Linked DNA regions of Tribolium castaneum. The protein of the gene in region 1 purifies or fractionates together with the protein of each later gene. This does not show direct contact. Links are inferred from orthologs where the notes say so. Each region holds a gene or a part of one and is shown in the gene's direction. Other genes may lie near its edges.

The links. Proteins that work in one complex are often made in the same cells at the same time.
Region 2: the proteins of slmb (region 1) and Cul1 purify together in Drosophila melanogaster (affinity purification with western blotting; 4 studies listed by BioGRID, with this or other methods). This does not show direct contact. The link is inferred for Tribolium castaneum from reciprocal best matches to the Drosophila melanogaster genes slmb and Cul1.
Region 3: the proteins of slmb (region 1) and ci purify together in Drosophila melanogaster (affinity purification with western blotting; 4 studies listed by BioGRID, with this or other methods). This does not show direct contact. The link is inferred for Tribolium castaneum from reciprocal best matches to the Drosophila melanogaster genes slmb and ci.
Region 4: the proteins of slmb (region 1) and ex purify together in Drosophila melanogaster (affinity purification with western blotting; 4 studies listed by BioGRID, with this or other methods). This does not show direct contact. The link is inferred for Tribolium castaneum from reciprocal best matches to the Drosophila melanogaster genes slmb and ex.

What each region holds. Positions count from the first base shown.
Region 1 is NC_087397.1:4,519,389-4,525,032, reverse strand, and holds the end of slmb (supernumerary limbs), read left to right. Parts: intron 1-1,103; exon of another isoform or gene 1,104-1,350; intron 1,351-1,405; coding exon 1,406-1,637; intron 1,638-1,686; coding exon 1,687-1,873; intron 1,874-1,922; coding exon 1,923-2,379; intron 2,380-3,276; coding exon 3,277-3,539; intron 3,540-3,596; coding exon 3,597-3,786; intron 3,787-4,396; coding exon 4,397-4,532; intron 4,533-4,581; coding exon 4,582-4,592; 3' UTR 4,593-4,971; downstream 4,972-5,644.
Region 2 is NC_087396.1:22,568,764-22,573,078, reverse strand, and holds the end of Cul1 (cullin-1), read left to right. Parts: coding exon 1-362; intron 363-410; coding exon 411-674; intron 675-722; coding exon 723-902; intron 903-1,543; coding exon 1,544-1,693; intron 1,694-1,743; coding exon 1,744-2,084; intron 2,085-2,132; coding exon 2,133-2,352; intron 2,353-2,403; coding exon 2,404-2,484; 3' UTR 2,485-2,811; downstream 2,812-4,315. Other genes in the region: TBC1 domain family member 31, read left to right, coding at 3,151-3,224, 3,271-3,703, 3,751-3,899, 3,946-4,315. UniProt on the Drosophila melanogaster protein: Core component of multiple SCF (SKP1-CUL1-F-box protein) E3 ubiquitin-protein ligase complexes which mediate the ubiquitination of proteins involved in cell cycle progression, signal transduction and transcription.
Region 3 is NC_087394.1:31,471,674-31,476,517, forward strand, and holds part of ci (transcriptional activator cubitus interruptus), read left to right. Parts: intron 1-3,077; coding exon 3,078-3,202; intron 3,203-4,844. UniProt on the Drosophila melanogaster protein: Has a dual function as a transcriptional activator and a repressor of the hedgehog (Hh) pathway. The full-length ci form (ciFL), acts as an activator (ciA) while ciR, its C-terminally truncated form, acts as a repressor. Involved in segment polarity.
Region 4 is NC_087395.1:21,738,120-21,742,963, forward strand, and holds part of ex (protein expanded), read left to right. Parts: intron 1-956; 5' UTR 957-992; coding exon 993-1,221; intron 1,222-4,844. UniProt on the Drosophila melanogaster protein: Activates the Hippo/SWH (Sav/Wts/Hpo) signaling pathway, a signaling pathway that plays a pivotal role in organ size control and tumor suppression by restricting proliferation and promoting apoptosis.

The sequences.
Region 1 (5,644 bases):
CATTTTATCCTGTATTAAACGAATAAATTGGACGTTGTAAAGACGAAGCCGTCCGATTGTTAATGTCATAATTCACTGAAATGAATAATTGGATTAGAAATTTATAATGGCGCACGTATATGTTTAATTAGCTAATAACTAGTTTCAAACTACCTGCTCGAATGTTAATATTTGTAGTAATTTGGTTGAAGGATTACACATTGTTTGTTAATTGGGATGGAGTAATAACTTTGTATTAGTGCTGAGTGCATAACTTTGTCATTGACAAATACATAGTAAAATCGTAGTGTTGCTCAACTCCAGACAGTCTTTGAAAGGATTGTAACAAAGGTTTGGCCGTGAAGACTGCGATTTTTTCTAAACAAATATTTTGAATACATTTTAAGCGAAGGTTATTTTACTGCAATTTTTTGGAAGAATTTTTGTACCAGGAAATCATCGAATTTATCTCGTGAAAGAGCGAAAAAGTAAGTTCACTTTACAACGAAACAATTTTGAACTATGGAATTTGGTTGGTAAAGCGAAAAATTGAAATTTCTTGCACTCTGTCTTTGAGTGCAGCTCGTAAAAAATTCATTTCAAACCGTCCAGTGAATTGAATCGTAACTAATCGATTTTGCCATAAATAATCCTTGAACAAGATGTAAGAAAATACGCGGTTCATGACAACGCAATCTATTCCGGTGATGGTAAATTAAATGTAAATTAATTATTGTTGTCACAAGCAAAATTTTTCAAAATCACGTTTTCTAGACAGCTCGTTTAATTAATTGACGTCATTAGGCGCCGCAATTAAAGAGGGAAAACGTTGCGGTTTCTCCATTTCATAAAATTCGGCTTTTACGCTCGATTAATTAGAGGTTTTGTGTCGATATTAGATCGCGATTAGACAACAGAAAAAACAATTTCATGGAACCGTCCTCGGAAACTCGTCTTGTCTCCTAGCAGTCATTCTAGTTCAAGTGTACCGTGTATGTTAATTTTGTCCTGAATGTCGAGCGTGCTTTATTTATGAGATTATTCTTATGTTGAGGAAAAAGAGAGTCACCAGATGAACATTTTTCCCGCCTTTAGTACATCTAAGCTCGCCTCGGATATCAGAAGTAAATCAGCGATTTGTGCGTGCACAAGGCGTTCAACTTTCTACAATTTACATTTAATTATTGTCTTATCATTTTTTCGTCGACAGTTATCTTTTATGTTTATGTTCAGTTTTATTTGTTCTCAGACGGGTTCATTAGGTGCATAAAAATAGCGACAAACGGTATTTGTAATTTCCTTTATCTAATATGTTGATTACTGAGGTTTAGCTAAATTTAGCTCGTATCTCGCTTATTTCGGAACATAACGGTAATTTTGTTTGCAGATGTCTGTTCCATCGTAATCGTTTGTGTTTCCTTTACAGCAGTATCCAATGACAATATTATCACCGTACGATACGGCCAGGAAGAAAGAGCCTTCGGCTACTTTTAACGCGGAGAGAGAAACATGTCTGAAATGCTTCGAAAAATGGAGCGAAACCGACCAAGTCGAATTCGTAGAAAATTTACTAGCTAGGATGTGTCACTACCAACACGGGCACATCAATTCCTATTTGAAACCCATGCTGCAGCGAGATTTCATATCTCTTTTACCAAGTAAGTCCCGAAACGTTAGTCCCAGCGGATTTTTTGAGTTGTCTTTCAGAGCAAGGATTGGACCACGTCGCTGAGAATATATTGTCATATTTGGAGGCGGACAGTTTACGGAACGCCGAGTTGGTCTGCAAAGAATGGTTTAGGGTAATCTCAGAGGGTATGCTTTGGAAGAAGCTAATCGAGCGGAAAGTTCGGACGGATTCACTGTGGAGAGGTTTAGCCGAACGCAGACAATGGTACTGAATTAAACCCGAGTTAGTGGGTGTTTAACTTGGCAAATTTCAGGATACAATATTTATTCAAACCACGACCTGGCGAGAACCATCGTCCCCATTCGTTCTATCGAGCCCTTTTCCCGAAAATCATCCGCGATATCGAAAGCATAGAAAGTAATTGGCGGAACGGTCGGCACATCTTGCAGCGAATCAACTGCCGGTCCGAAAATAGCAAAGGGGTTTACTGTTTGCAGTACGACGATCAGAAAATCGTGTCGGGTCTCAGGGACAATACTATTAAAATATGGGACAGAAGTACATTGCAGTGCACTAAAGTTCTTATAGGACATACGGGATCGGTTTTGTGTTTACAATACGACGATAAAGTTATTATTAGTGGTTCTAGTGATTCAACTGTGCGCGTCTGGAACGTTAACACGGGAGAAATGGTCAATACGCTCATACATCATTGCGAAGCCGTCCTTCATCTTAGATTCAATAACGGAATGATGGTCACCTGTTCAAAAGTAAGTCGAAAACCGTATTGGAACTTCATTAGCGAACCAAGTGAAAACCGCCCGCAATTAAACCACCGTTAGAAACTCGGTCTTGGATTTTTTCTTGAAATATGTGTCAGACTCGTCAGCAGATCGCGATCGTAAATTCCCACTGTTTGAACTCGAATACAATTCGGATTAAAAACGGACAAATATTCCCCGTTATCGTTACTTCCACCATTAAAACAATAAATCATGGATTATATCTGGATATTGCAACTACAAAGGAATATTTATATGATAATGAAACGCAAAGTTATTTCGGGGTCACATCCGAGAATGAGACATTAACATAAAAACTCCACAATTGAAAAAAGAAAGCACTCTAATTTTGTCCAAGAATTTATTTTATGGTGCACTAGCTCTAATTGGACACTTAATTACAAATTTCACACTTCCTGTTTGGGTTTTATTTTTAACAAAAACGAAAGTAAATGCATCGCATGAAATTCGTTTTTATAAATTACGAAACGGTACGTGATTGCCAATTAATTTTCGTTCGAAAATTAATTCAAGTTCCTTCCCCAATAAAACCTTGGGCTATTATTAGTTACTTTTTACTAATAATAGCAATGGATTTATTATTGGCATAAGCTAAAGCTTGGCCAATTGTACTGAAAACGGACAAAGCTTGTGGGTGGAACAAATCCGATCCTAAAAAAGGGGCGCGCTTTAAAAGGTCAAAGTTATTCATTAAAGTAGCGCTCGTATTGGCGTTTAATTAAAAAAAAGGCATTGCACAAATGATTCTTACAAAAAAATGAGCTATAAAATGTAAATTTGGTTTAACCTAATTATTTTTGAAAAGGTAACGTGTGAGAATGGGTTTTTAACGCCGTTTTGCGAATTAATGTTTGTTTTTTTCAGGATCGCTCGATAGCTGTGTGGGACATGACATCGCCGAACGAGATCACCCTGCGGCGGGTGCTGGTGGGGCACAGGGCCGCCGTGAACGTGGTCGATTTCGACGAGAAATACATAGTTTCGGCGTCGGGTGACCGAACGATAAAAGTGTGGAACACCTCAACTTGTGAGTTTATGCGAACGTTAAACGGACATAAACGGGGGATCGCCTGTTTGCAATACCGAGATAGGTTGGTCGTAAGCGGAAGTTCGGACAATACCATAAGGTAAACATTGCGGTTAAATGCGCGATAAAGAAACCACAGAACACGATCGATTTCCAGGTTGTGGGATATCGAAGGTGGCGCTTGTCTGCGGGTGCTTGAAGGGCACGAAGAGTTAGTGCGTTGTATCCGTTTCGATTCGAAACGGATTGTCAGCGGGGCTTATGATGGGAAAATTAAAGTTTGGGATCTCGTTGCCGCGCTTGATCCCAGAACGCCGGCCAGTGCTTTATGTCTTCGAACATTGGTAGTAAGTTAATAGTACAGTCATTAAATTCATCTAATATCATAACGCAGCGCTTGACATTTCATTTAATAGAGTTAATAAAGGGCTAATTTTTAACTGAGCGATTGCAGGTAAAGTTGTTATGCTTGCTTGTCCTTTAATGGGCCCACTTAGTGTTTTTTATTTCAAGTTACGAAATAATGTTACGGGTTAATATGTACTTCACTTCACTGTTCGCTGATAAGTGATAATTGTTGAGAAATAGTATCATTGCTGGGATAAGTGACCATTTTCTCGATGAAAAACGCATCAGTATCATAAATATTTTGTAACATGAGCAGAAAATGGATGGCACTTTAATTATAATTAGAGATAGAATCGAAAGAACAATTTTTTGTTTTGGCCATTTGTACACGAAATCTTTCTTTTTCCATAATAGTCGCGATTTGGCAGGTATTTTGCACTTGAAGTTAAATGCTTGTTGCGTTAGTTTAAGGAACCGTGCTAAATGAGCCTATTAGGTGTTCATACCATTGATGTCTTAAATGATTTTTTGACTGATTGCATTCATAAAGTTTCGGTGGGTGTGAGACCCATTCCCGGGTGTCTAAACGTTGGTGTTTCTTGTTTTCAGGAACACACAGGTAGAGTATTCAGGTTGCAGTTTGACGAGTTTCAAATAGTGAGCAGTTCGCACGATGATACAATTCTTATTTGGAATTTCCTCAACTCAATTGGAGAGAGAAACACGAAATCGCCTTCGCCCTCTCGTACGTTGGTTGTGTGTTATTGTTGATTTTTTAACGTTTCCAATTTCAGCGTTTGAGTAAATTGTCCAGAAGCCAATTTGTCATCATGTGTGTGTGAGTGTGGAAGAGACAATTTTGGAGCAAGTGCTCGCATAAACTGACTAGGAATATAAAATTTAGAAAATTATTTGTAATAATTGTGTATAATGTTATATTTAAATTGGATATATTTATGTCTTAATTTATAATATGAAGCGTATTTGACATAATTGGAGTTCGTTTTTTACGTGTTTCGTCTTTATGAAAAATTTTTGCTGTTGTGTTTCCTAGACCGAATTAAGATGTCGACACAAAACCTCTGTTGATCTGTTGTAACCTAAATGAGTTTAACTACGAATTATGTGATAGTACGTTTAAAACATCTAAAGTGCGGTTTTCATCGTGTGCGCCATTAATCTTGTTGACGTTTTACATTTGTTTTATTTCGTTATCGTTGAATTTGCAAAAATGAACAACTAATTTTAGCTCTCTAGTCTATGAAATTTCAATGATAGGCTACACACGTTATTTTAGGAATCAAGTTGTTTTAAAATTCTCACACTATAGTGCGGTTTCTACAGTTTGTTGGGCTTTCTAGTCTGTAATCATTCTTTGCAAACTTAGAAAGTGAGTTTAGTCGGCAAAAATTGTATAGTAAGTTTTAAATTTATAGGATTTTGGGGTGAATTCAGTGATGATTAATTTTAGTTTAGGATTATTTTACATCATTTTCATCAAGTTGGAAATTGTGATCTATTATTTAGGGTTCTCCATATTTATTATGGGAAAATGATTGCAACCAAAAGTACTTTTTGTTTTGTTTGGTGCATTAATTTAATGAGGCTGCAAGTGTACTGGGATTCCAAGAAGTGGCCACGGGCTGTTCTTGCTATTTATTTTAGACGATTCTGCCAAAATGTAGTATTTCTCCTAGATTAGATTTACAAGTAAACTTATAACGGCTTTTGTGATAAAATCTTACAGTAAAATTTGTATGCCTGTTTTGTACTATAACTGGAATGTACACTATTCATGTTAAAAAAAAACACTATCAATAAGGCACTAAATCATTTTATAGGTTAATGTAAATATTA
Region 2 (4,315 bases), on another chromosome or scaffold:
AACGCTTCTACCTAAAAGAGAGTAACAACTTCCTAGCACAAAATCCGGTCACTGAATACATGAAAAAGGCCGAACAACGTCTCCTCGAAGAACAGAAACGCGTCCAAGTCTATCTACACGAAACAACAAGCGGCCGTTTAGCCAAAACCTGCGAAAGAGTCCTCATTAAAAAGCACCTCGACATGTTCCATTCGGAGTTCCAGCAGTTGTTGGACGCCGACAAAGACGAGGATTTGGGTCGGATGTACTCGTTGGTAGCGCGGATTCCGGACGGTTTAGGGGAATTACGGACGCTTCTCGAGCAACATATCGCAGCTCAGGGGCTCTCAGCGATTGAAAAATGCGGAGAAAGCGCCCATAATGTAACTAACTGTTACTACAACTCCCAGTTTTTAATAACCTGTATTTAGGACCCGAAAATTTACGTCAACACGATTCTGGAGGTGCACAAGAAGTACAACGCTCTTGTTTTGGTGGCGTTCAACAACGATAGCGGTTTTGTGGCGGCTTTGGACAAGGCATGTGGTCGTTTCATCAACGCCAATGCCGTTACCAAAAAAGCCAATTCGAGCAGCAAATCGCCGGAATTGCTCGCGAAATACTGTGATTTGCTGCTGAAGAAGTCGAGCAAGAATCCGGAGGAGGCGGAGCTCGAAGATACGTTAAACCAAGTCGTATGTAACGAGGTTTTGTTTTGGGTGGGGTTTTGATTGTGTTTTCAGATGGTTGTGTTCAAATATATCGAAGATAAGGACGTTTTTCAAAAGTTCTACAGTAAAATGCTGGCCAAGCGATTGGTCCAGCACATGTCGGCGAGTGACGATGCTGAAGCTTCAATGATCTCAAAACTGAAACAGGCATGCGGGTTTGAGTACACCTCCAAGTTGCAAAGGATGTTCCAGGCAAGTTGGTACAATTGGTTTTTAATTGGTCATTGATGACCCCGAGAATGAATGATTTTCTATTAATAAACAATTTGCGTTAATACGAGACATTTATAAACGATTTTCTGCACATTTATCATATCGATAAACAAACAATCAACGGAAATGCGAATTTAAACATAATTTTTTGCAAAGTGACTTTGGTTATACGCATTTCTTCCGTTTTTCATGACTGACTTCAAGGCCTGCTCTCCTTTTGGAGATTTCAGTGGTAACTTTGAACTGAAGGCGACTTTCTTTTTGTCTTGCTAAATTTCCAAGTTTTTGGCTAAAAATTTAATTTTTTCAACTTTTTATTTGACAATTTCCAAAAAATACAAATTGAACTTTAAATTTTTTTCTTGTTTTTTGTACGTTTTTCACTCAGAAATGCTTCTTTTTGCGAAAGTCCTCCGGAATAAGCCGAAAATTCATTAAAATAAGTCGGGAGATCTCAAATGATTATTATGAAATAATTTTGAAATTTCAAATGCTAAAAAATATTAAAAGTCACTACTTTAATGACGGTTTATGTTGCCATTTTTGGGCCATTTTATCGTTAATTCTTTCGAAAAACAGCCTTGAAAGCGTTGATTTTGGCGTAATCTGTATTTTTTTAGGACATTGGCGTGTCTAAAGATCTGAACGAGCAATTCAAAAGTCATCTATTAAAATCAAACGAAACCCTAGACATAGATTTTAGTATTCAAGTGTTATCTTCCGGATCATGGCCTTTCCAGCAATCTTTCACCTTCGGATTGCCGACCGAGGTGCGTTTTTTGCTTGTTGTAGGGTTGGGAGATAAATTGTACGTTTGCAGCTTGAAAGAAGTGTTCATAGATTTACAAATTTCTATTCCGGTCAGCATTCGGGCCGGAAATTAAATTGGCTGTATAACATGTCGAAAGGAGAGTTACACACGAACTGTTTTAAAAATAGATACACACTCCAAGCTAGTACGTTTCAAATGGCTGTGCTGCTCCAGTTCAACGTGTCTGAAAGTTGGACAATAGCTCAACTCGAGGAGAATACACAAATCAAAACAGATTTCCTAATACAGGTCATACAGATATTACTTAAAGCGAAGCTGATCACTTGCGATGATGACGAGAACGAGCTCGCGCCACACTCGGTTGTGAACCTTTTCCTAGGATATAAAAAGTGAGTTTACGCGCCAGGGGTGTCCCCCGATTTGAGTTTTTCTTCCAGTAAAAAACTTCGGGTCAATATCAATATTCCGATGAAGACCGAGCTAAAGATGGAGCAAGAAACAACTCACAAGCATATTGAAGAGGACAGGAAGTTGCTGATTCAAGCCGCGATTGTACGAATCATGAAAATGAGGAAAATACTGAAACATCAACAGTTGGTGGCTGAAGTTTTGAACCAGTTGTCGTCAAGGTTCAAGCCGAGGGTTCACATCATCAAGGTGATGATATTTCTCGTATTAGTTGTGTGTTTGATTTGTGTTTTGTTGCAGAAATGCATAGATATTCTGATCGAGAAGGAGTATCTGGAGAGGACTGAGGGTCAGAAGGACACCTACAGCTACTTGGCATGATTCAGCAAACGCAACTGTCACCCAACTGTCTTTGATTAACAACCGGCGGAGTCAACGAGTGGCTTGTATATTGTAAATATTCGAAAAATAAATTGTACTTTAAGTGATATGCTATACTAAAAAATACACAACTGTATTTATGTTTTGATTGAATTGTCCTAGAACTGTCAATCTGAGTTCTGGCGCTCTCTTGATATTCCTTTGAATTTTTGTTTTAATTCTGCTTTTACTTTATTAATTGTATAGAATCTGTTTATTTGTATTACTATGTGAAAAGAATACGAATGTAATTTAATTCACCGATTTTAAATAAATTGTTTTGACAAATTGCTGTTTGAGTTAACGCCACTTTAACACACATTGGAATACGATTATCAAAAAAACATAAATAAAACTATGAATAATTTATTTATTATTTTATTCTATATTAAATTGATGATACACCTTTGTTAATAGGAAAATGAAAAAATGAGAAAAATATCACAGTTGGCTGAATAATTTGACTTCGCGCCACCTTTCGGTGTGCTAGTGCAACATGCAATGACAAGTTCACAAAGGTTTCTTGAACTCGATTTTACAAAATATTGACACAGATTAGAGGTTATCTTGCTTTAATCTGTGACCATCGATAAAGACAAACCAACCCTTGAAACAACCACAACCACCATGACTCTAAACCTAACCAAGGAAAACCGCATTTACAAGAAACTTTTCACTTTGAAACCCTCCCAAAGAGACGGGTATTGGGCCCTTGCCCCTTGGACCAATTAATTGCCCTGTTTTCAGCTTAGTGCTAAACATCCACCACACCGACAGAAACGCGCAGAAGATCCGCTTTCTCAGTTGCTGTTTCAGCAAAAATGGTCAAACACTGGCCTTGGCCGACTACGAGGGCAACATCTTTGTGATCGACTTCACGAGCACCAAATTCTGGAACATCCCAAAATTCACAAACACTTGCGTTATGGTCAAGTTTTCGCACTTCAAAGAGGGCGAAATTTTAGTGGGGGCACATTGTGGCGCTGTGTACGTGGTTGAGGCCCAAACTGGCTTCGTCTGCGGCCAGTTGAGGGGCCACCAGAGCCCTGTTAATTGCATGACGTTTGGTAGTAACTTTTTGTGCCTCACGGGGTCCACAAGTGAGGCGATTTTGTGGGACTTGAACACCAACAGCAAGCTGCAGGTGCTCAGTTTGCAGCACAGTTGCGCCCTGAAATATGTACGTCTTTGCGATCGTTAGAATTAATTTGATTTCGAAAATTCCAGGTGTGCTTCATTCCCGTTTCCTCCTATATTTTGACATGTTTCAACGACGACGTGATCCAGATCTGGCAGTTTGGCACGTTTGAGATGAAGACTGAAATACCACCTCTGGTGTGGTTCAACCACGAAGTGAAAAACATCACGTTCACACAGTATGACGATGGTTTTTGTCAATTGTTTTTTTATGTTTTTTTCAAGGGACGGCAAAGTGATGGTGATTGGTTGCCGCTCACCACACCTCGCCCTCTTCCTACTCTCGAACTTCAAACTATTTAAATTTATAACATTGCCAGAACACATCCAGTCACTGAAACACATTGATTTCATCCCCCAGCCAAACGACGCCGGCTCGAATAAAATTTTAGCCATTTTATCAGGCCGTGGCACTGTTTATTTCTACGACAGCCACCAAAATGTTCTAATGAGCGAATTAGTTGCAAATTACGAAATTTCAAAATACGATTTTTCGGCGAGTTATATGGCCTGTGTTTTATCGTCCGGTGACGTCAATATCTACGATGTGACCCAATACGTGGTTGTGCCACTCAAACTGAAGGCCGTTCGGGCA
Region 3 (4,844 bases), on another chromosome or scaffold:
GCGGGTGGACTCCAGCATCCACCTCGTCAAACGCATTCCGGGATTTATTATAATTGCTGTTCTCATGCGAAACCTCCACTCACTCGTGAAATAAATAAATAAGCCTTGTTATTGACAATTGCACACTTAATTTCTTTCTATCACGGTTTCATAGCCTGTAATACTATATCTCCATATATTTCACTCAATAGGGCGGAAAGTGCCGTTTTTTCACGTAGAGAAAGGAAAAAAAAGGAATGCCTGTCTTAATTTGTAGTTGATGTGTGTTGTTGACTCATCTGAATTATTTGGTGATAGAGCGGTCAAGCGGACGAAGTTAGTCCGTCGTCGAATTTATGTAAATGTATGAAGCGCCTGTATACAAATTGTCAAATTATTCAGTTGGCAACGGTGTGCCTTCTTTGTTTGGTACAACTGTATAAAACACCCACATCTAAGGTGCGAACAAAACATAGGTGATTCGAACGCGTTCGGTGTGGTGTGCGTGTTTTATGCAAGCCGGATTACATTCGTCCTGTGAAAGAGCGTCGTCCTGGCATAGGTTGTCTCTGTGGTTGCGTCCACTTGTGTTTATTTGGTTGGATGTAGAACGACACACCTGATAATGCAGTCTGGATTAAACTTTTATTCGGCCGTAAAAACTTGTTGGCGTTTATATTGGCCGTATATTTTTGAAATCCTCCATCGACTCACCTTGGTCGAAGATCGAGGCTTTCTGAATAAATGTTTACGTAACGAAAAATACGGTTTTATTACTTATATAAATAGCTTCCTCTCGGTTTGTGCATCCGTCAAGAAGATTAAATAGATTTATTCAATGAGCGGGGACCAAGATGACATCACTGATGCTCAATGCGCTGATAATGGCAATGACTTGGAACAAATTTCTTATCAACATCCTGGGACTATTAATATATCATTTCCGTCCGGAAAATAGCAAAGCCACAGCAGTCAAGATATATTTGTTAAAAATATGCTTTCAATTAAATTTTGGATACGATTTGAAGTTAAGCTGGTATACAGGTGACTCACAAGTACCGTACAATCTCTCGGGTGCTGATAAAAGACATCAAACTAACTGAATAAAAAGTTCCTGTGACAAAAAATTGTTTCACGAGATGTAGGCCTTCAAAGTCAAATTTTTAAATTAATTTTTTGATATTTTAGATCATATTTTTTTGACTTAAGTTAGCTCTTGCAACATTAAACAAATAACTGTTGAAAAAAATTAACAATTAATATCTAATGATGTGCAATACATTAAAATAAATTAAATAAATTATAAATAAATTAAACATAAATAAAATATAAATATAAATAACTATAAAAATATATAAAAACTTGCTTAAAAAATCTGGCTTCATTTTTGTGCTTAACTGAACGTCTTTTATCACTATACGAGAGATTGTCCCACATCCCACACTTTTGAATCACCCGGTACCACAGCAAAGAATTAGTCATTTTGTTACTACCTTCATTTTAGAATATCATTTGAAATAAATAAAAATTTTCTCGTCTTTTGATGAAATTTGTATAATGTAATCAATCTAGAAGTTTGGTACTGTACACGTACTATACGATAACACTTTCTTTTTTATATGTCAGATATTCAATCTCTTGTCATAAACAGTTAAGTTATGCAACACATGATATATCTAGTCTAATTATTTAGATAAAACATGAAAGTTTAGCTTAATATTGTGACGTGGTCGTAACAATAATTTTATCATAAAATTATATTTACTAGAAACGTCGTAACTGCTTTTTGATGTTAAAATTGAATCCTACTAACAAAATTAGGGCCAAAAGGCTTCAGTATTTCATATAAAAAATATTGTGAAGAATCTTAGAAATTATGATAAAAATGCAATCGTGCATCCAATAAATCGCGATTTTTACAATCAGAGAATTAGGGCCATCTCCAGCAGACCATTGTTGCTTTCTCTTTATTCACACAGAAACCAGAAGCGTTTTATAGTCTGGGAATTTTTTTGTTATATTCTCGTTGGAAAAGGATGGTCGAAAGTAATGGCGAATAAATATGAATATTGGTAGTAAAAAACAGCATTTGGTGAAGATTTGACTTGGTTGACGTTTGTTTTAGTAAAAGGTTTATTGGAGGATTTTTTTCTTACATAAGTAGGTAATTTTTTCTGTACCTACCTAAACACATCGCACGGCATAATTTACCGAAACTTTTTTTCTAAGGGAATTAAAATTTAATCCAGGATTTTGCATTGAAGAATCTTTATCAAAATATAACTGCAATAAATGTTCAAATCGAGTTCAAATGTTAGAGATTAAAAAAAGAAGTTAAAAATTTTGACTTTAAAAAACGGACTATAACATTAAAATAATCAACTTCGTTAATTTCTTTTCTTTATTAATAACTGTGATAATAATGATTTGGTTTAATAGCTGGCATTTGAATTAAAAAACTAACCATTCATCTTAAATTATGAATGAATCTCAAAATTTAAGCCCATTGGTTTCTCACTTAATTTTAATAGCCGACCTTAAACGGACCAATCAAATCCACAAATATAATCATTAATGAATCAAAAACTCAAATGTGATTGGTCTTCTCCGTCATTTTAATGGCTGGTCTCAAACCCACCAATCAAAATGCTCGCAAATTTTTTTAGATGAAAAGCGACAAAATTGTCTCACTGAGACGAAATCAATAGGAAAGATAGAATTGAAACTTTTATTTTAGTCAAAATCCATTAATTGGCAAATTCTGGAAATTTCCATTAGATGATTGCCACTGCGCATGCGCGCGCGCTTCTTAAATTTGACAAGTGACATTTCGAAAATGCTTTAAAAAATCCAACAAAAACGCCGAAAAATCTGTGAAAAACCGTTCCGGCTAATTCAAAAGTGCAAAACAAAGACATTTGGCACGTAAATATTGTGTAATTGCGAACGGCATTGGTGTATTTTGCGCGTGGGGCTCTTGCCCCAAAAAAATCATTATTCAAAATGCTCAAAATTCACAGTAAAAACGCAGTCATTATAAGTAAAACTCGTATTTTTGTTAGAATTGATTGTTTGACAAGTTCTTTATTTTGTTGTAGGGTGAGCGGAAGTCCTGGAAGTGGTCTCCAGCTCCTGGGACGGGAACTACATCCCGCTTATCGTCTTCCACCCCACATGGAGTACCTCTATTCACTGCAGCATTCCACTGCCAATTCGATACACGGTAAGCCGGAAGTAGCTGAATAGGTGTGAACCCTGAGCTAGTATCACGTCCGATATCAGTCCTCCTGATTGACGCTAAAAGAAACGTTACGTTCCGTTTTATGCAGCATTTAGTTTGTCAGTAAAATTTTAATACTCCTTGGAATGGGAGCTGGACGTTGATGTTCTTCCCGAGTTCGTCAGTCGAATAAGTGTATCGATAAAATCCGGGTGCCATAAATGTCCACGTGTCATTTTTACAGTCATCTCGTTCGATATTTTAATATCTAATAAAATAAAGCCAGCATTCTCCCAGCTTGATTCCATACATGGCTCAGTGTAATAAAGTAAGGATTTTATGGTTTCAACTTAGTTAATATCGACCTCTATTAAAAATTATGATAATTTATATATTAATAATACCGTAATCCAACGTTAAATGCGGTTGTTTTTCCCTAAGTAACCGGATTAAGTTAAGTAACTCCGCGACCCGATCCAGTTACACAACACTAAACCCTTGTGTTTTGAAAATTCAATCAGCTTGATAAAAAACCGGATGCAAGGGTGAGTCTCAAGCCCGCATCGTCATCCACGTTTTTGTTTCAAACAATTAGCGCTCACGACACACAATTTTCGTAATTTTTTACGTGTGCGAGCTTAATGATTTATTTTTGCAGAAGACGCGTGTTTGTTTATTCAGGAATATTGGAAACGGTCTGGTTTATTTATACATAGGTTTTGTTTGTTTTCTCGAGCTCCTTATAAATGCGCGTTGACACAAATGTTTGTTGCAAGTTACTGGAGATTTATTTGTGCAGCATCTGTGGCAGGTTTACTAGCGCGGAATTTGACACAAAGTAGCTTCACTTTTACTCATCTTAATTTCTCGAACTTGACTTCCCTTGACTCGGTTTTTCATTGAAAGAAGTAACGCAATGTCTGCTTCGCCAAAGGCAAATGCCACGTTCAGTTTAAATAGGTTTATGCTACTGCAAAAAATTTTGTTGCATAATTTAGGACGTAATAAATTGTAGACAATAAATTATTATATTCTATAAAGCCGTGACCGTTAAAATAGCACAGTTACGGCAACGGATTTATGTCTCTAATATCATTGATCAAGAGTTGATTGTTATACAGGATTTCTGGCGAATAATGGCAAGCGTGTTATGCTACTTTTATTATTAAAATATTTGTGGTACCTCCTAGCTGAGGAGAATTTTTAAAAACGGAACACTATTAAAAAAAAAAGGATCAACTTTCTTGCTAAATTGTAATAGATCTTTATGCCTTTTTTGGTAAATTGAAACAATTGAGAATCATTTACTATTTTTCTGTGGTCAATTTAAAATCTCTCTAGAATAAAGTAGACATTTCGTACTTTAGATTACATCATAATAAATACCTCAATTTATGTTGTTTTATTGCTGTATTTTTTGTTTCGTTTGGAAAAACTGCAGGGAAATATTGTTTCAAATCAAATTTTGCAAAGAGTAAGCAGTTCAAGATATTTCACCTGATAAGGTCGCAAAGACTTTAGCTTGAAAGACGAGAAAACTCAATATACAGGGTCGCTAAAAAGTATGGATACAGTTAAATATTATAAAAACTATTTATCAAAACTTTTTAAAATTTGGTGTACGCTTAAAAGTATATAAATTTCA
Region 4 (4,844 bases), on another chromosome or scaffold:
GTACCCAAAATTTATTTTTTTAAATGGGACGTCCCAATTTTTATTTTACTAGATGGTGGAGAATTTTTTTCTGCATCGATCTGTATTAGCATTCCCTATACCTATCTATGATCATTTTCAAGTTATTTTGGTTTTTTTGACATTGTAGAAAATTTCTTACTAACCACAGATATTTTTGCACAGTTTGGTCTTTTTTTAGAAAAACATGTTCCTATCTATTAATAATAATTAGGAGTGACAAAATTATCTAATATATATTTGATGTTATTTCACTACACGTATAATAATGCCAATAAATGGCACTAAAACAAAAATGCTATTCTCAACGATTTACGTTTATATTTTTCCCGAAATTTAATTAAAAAATGAAAATTTGGGCTAGAATTTCGCTGTAGACGAGTCGGAATTGATTTTGCCGTTCATTTATTTTTTTAAGTTTTAAAAATTTCAAATAGATGCGATTACAGGATTAAATAATAAATCGATTCCTGTTATTGGCGTGACTTTTAACTCATTTCCATGCCAGTCTTGACCTTCAATCTTTCGTAAAGCTGTCTAAAAGGCTTCAAAATCGGGCCTTTGTCCAACTTGTAAAGCGTCAATTTTCGTCTTGTCTGTCACAAATATGTAAAAAACTCAATTCTTTCTGGTGTCTAATCACAAATCACAACTCTCATACATGACGTACATGTGTTTTTTTCGCCATTTCTCAAGAAACATGCAAGATATTTCCTGTGTACGCAGTAAATCAGATAAGAAGTGTTACCTAGAATCGGCATCCAATGAAACCCACCTAATCATCGTCTAAAAGCGAACGCAAAACGCGAGACAATGGCCGATTAATATGAAAATTTGGCAATGACCTCTGTATCTGTCTGGAATTTGTTCCTGGAACGTGTGTTAATTGTTGGCGCGAGATGTCCGATCGCAGGCTAATGATAGGGTCGTGTGTGCAGGTGAGCGGGCAACCCCCTTGAAGAGATGAGCGGGTCATGCGCGCCGGCCTGTGCACGGTAAGCGCCCCTCTGGCCGCGTGCAGCCCGGCAGCAGCGCTACCCCCGTCGGCTCGCTTCTTGGCCCTGCATTTGCTGCACCAACAAACCCTCTACTTCATCGTACAGGCCAAATCCAGGGTCAGGGAACTGTACCAGCAGACATGCCTACACTTCGCCCAACAGGGGATGCTCGACACCGACTTGTTCGGGCTGGCCCTCATCTGCGGTAAGCAAACTTTTTTATCTAAATAGGGGCGTTTATCTCGTCCAATATCTTCAAAACTACCATTCACAGATCAAAAAGGGAGACAGATTTGGAATCCTCAGACGATTCTGTGTCAAATGGTGGTACTTTTGACATCAATTTTCGGTTATTTTGACCTTACTGAATTTTTTGTTAGTAGAAAGTAAATAAAAATTTTGAACAGGTTGTTTTATTTATTCGTTACACAGTTTTGACTCGATTTCTACAAAATTTTGCTCAGAAATAGATAATCAACTAGTAAAAAAAGTGCTACAAGTCGTTTTAGACAGATCAATTTAAATTTTTAATTTAATTTAATTTTTGGCAGAATGGAAAAATTTTCCTCGATCGTATTTCGTCTAATATCTCTAAAATCGTGTAAGGGAAATGAGGATATATTTGGAATTCTCAGATAAGTTTACGTCGAAAAAGCATACTTTTGACCAAAATTTTTGGTTATTTGATGATTTTTCATTAGCAGATAAGTAAATAAAAATTTTGACTTCTTGTTTTATTCGGATTATTTGCACAGTTTTGACTAGATTACCACAAAATTGTGCTCAGATTTTTGATAACGAAGTAGCTGAAAGTGTTACAAGTCGTTCTGGATTAATTTTTATTTTTTTCTTCTTTTAATTTTTGATAAAATGAAAAAATTGAAATCGATCGTATTTCGTCTAATATTTCCAAAACTTTGAATTTTATAACAAAAATGAGAACAGATTTGGAATCCTCAGACAATTCTGTGTCAAATGGTGATACTTTTGACATCAATTTTCGGTTATTTTGACCTTACTGAATTTTTTGTTAGTAGAAAGTAAATAAAAATTTTGAACAGGTTGTTTTATTTATTCGTTACACAATTTTGACTCGATTTCTACAAAATTTTGCTCAGAAATAGATAATCAACTAGTAAAAAAAGTGCTACAAGTCGTTTTAGACAGGTCAATTTAAATTTTTAATTTAATTTAATTTTTGGTAGAATGGAAAAATTTTCCTCGATCGTATTTCGTCTAATATCTCTAAAATCGTGTAAGGGAAATGAGGATATATTTGGAATCCTCAGATGTTTACGTCGAATAGGCATACTTTTGACCTAAATTTTTGGTTATTTGATGTTTTTTCATTAGCAGATAAGTAAATAAAAATTTTGACTTCTTGTTTTATTCGGCTTATTTGCACAGTTTTGACTAGATTACCACAAAATTGTGCTCAGATTTTTGATAACGAACTAGCTGAAAGTGTTACAAGTCGTTTTGGATCAATTTTTATTTTTTTATTCTTTTAATTTTTGATAAAATGAAAAAATTGAAATCGATCGTATTTCGTCTAATATTTCCAAAACTTCGAATTTTATAACAAAAATGAGAACAGATTTGGAATCCTCAGACAATTTTACGTCAGTTGGGCATAAATGTGTATTAAATTTTTGGTTATTGTAATCTTGGTAATTTTTTATTGGCAGATAAGTAAATAAAAATTTTGACAAATTTGTTTTATTCAGTTTATTTGCACAATTTTTGCCTCGATGGCCACAATTTTTTTTTAATTAAAAGTGCTACAAGTCGTTTTAGGTCAATTTTTATTATTATTTTCATTAAATTTTTGGTAGAAGGGAAAAAATAAATCGACCGTATTACTACAAATATTTCCAAAACTACGAATTCTAGAACAAAATAAAGGCAGATTTTTGAACCCCTGGACAATTTTACGTCAAATTGGCGTACTTTTGACATCAATTTTATTTTGCTCTTGATGAATTTTTTGTTGGTAGATAAGTGAATAATTTTTTTACCAAATTGTGTTATTCAAATTATTTTTATTTTTTGTTAATTTTTGGTAGAATGTAAAAATTGACGAAAAGTCGACTGTTTTTCAATCAATATCTTCAAAACTACGAATTGTAGAACGAAAATAATAGCAAATCCCCAGACAATTTTACGTCAAATTGGCAGACTTTTGACATAAATTTTCGTTTATTGCTTATTAGGATTCTATTGAATTTTTTGTTGCTAGATGAGTAAATTACTCTTAAATATCCTTAATAGGGCAAAAAGTTTGCAATAAATGTCGAAAATAATATTACTGTGAGCTGTTTCTCTCTAGTGTTTAGCACGTTTGATAAGTGAGATACAATGTCTTTTGTAATTTTTCCTCCAATATTACTCTTGCCTTTTTGAAATGTTATGCAAACCTCATTTTCTCGCGAAATTTCGCTTAAATAACCCAAAAATTAACTTATTTTTGACTTTTCGAGCATTGTAAAAATGCCAAAATTACGCAATTTAAAGTTTTTATTTTAAGAGAAAAATCGAATCTAATTTAATACAGTAAATGCCAAATTAACTTGTTTAGAGGTATTCCAAGACCATTTGGCACGTCTTCTAGCAAAGAATCGTTGAAAAAAACTTATTTAAACTGGTGGAATACCATACAAAGTAAATGGTATTTCAGTACGATTTGAAGGAAAAATTGTTGAAAATCAATTAATGAGATGACTCAAATGCAAAATAAGGCGAACGTAGGTATTCCCAGAGAGCTTAGTACGTTTTTAAGTGCGAGAGATCGTTGAAAATAAACTTTTTTAAAGAAAACAAATGCCAAAATTAGGCGGATTAAAGTTTTTAAGTGAAGATCCGAGTAAAATCAAGTGCATTGGCAACTTATTTCACTCATTTTTGTGTTACTGGAAACTAAAAATATGGTTCAAAATAGGATATCGTGACATCACAACCGCCTTTCATCACAGAACCTAAAATCACCAAAAACTTGACAGACATTTCTTACACACCCTCCGCAAAATAAAAAATCGACCACTTTATGTTCAAAATTTTGTCTTGAACTTAAAGGAACTAAGTTCTAAACCATTTGGTCTTAAAACTGGACCAAATGCTCGCGTCATAATTCCAAGTATAAAGGTATAAAGAAAGGGTTTATTATTTACTTTTTTTATTTATTTTATTATTTTTTTAAGTGTTTTTAGCCTTATCATTAATACATAGTTGTTTTTAAGTTGCTGACATCTTTAATTAGACGAGTATAAGGTGATAATAAGGCGAATTTAGTTAATTCTAATACGAAGCCTAAAATTAGCGCAAAATTTTCGTTGCATTTTTGGAAATCTCTCAGCCCACTTACGGAAGTTTGGGCCCGTTGTTCGTATTAATTTTATCGTTTGGGATTCATCTTCTCGTGACCGGGCGTTGGTATTATAAGAAATTCATCGATTACGTCCGCACAGTAAACACTTAATAATAGTATCGGAATGCGAATGATTCGAACTTTTGGTCCGTCTTTATGTTGGCGATTATGTTCGAAAACCGCTTGCTAACAACAATTCTAAACATCGTACGTGGTTTCGATGTTAGTCATCTCTGTGTAAATCTCGTCCATCGGAGAGCCAATATTTGGAAACTGAAGAAAGGTTAGCAGGACAATTGCTCTACTGCGTGTAAAGCAATAAAAATATAACAATTTGTGCAAAGGCTACAAAGAGCCGATATTTTTTCGAACATTTTTCCCAACTTTGGAGGATGTTTAAGTGTATACACTCGAAAAAAATAAAAATGTCGTGCTTATATTGTTCATAATATTGACCTAGCTAT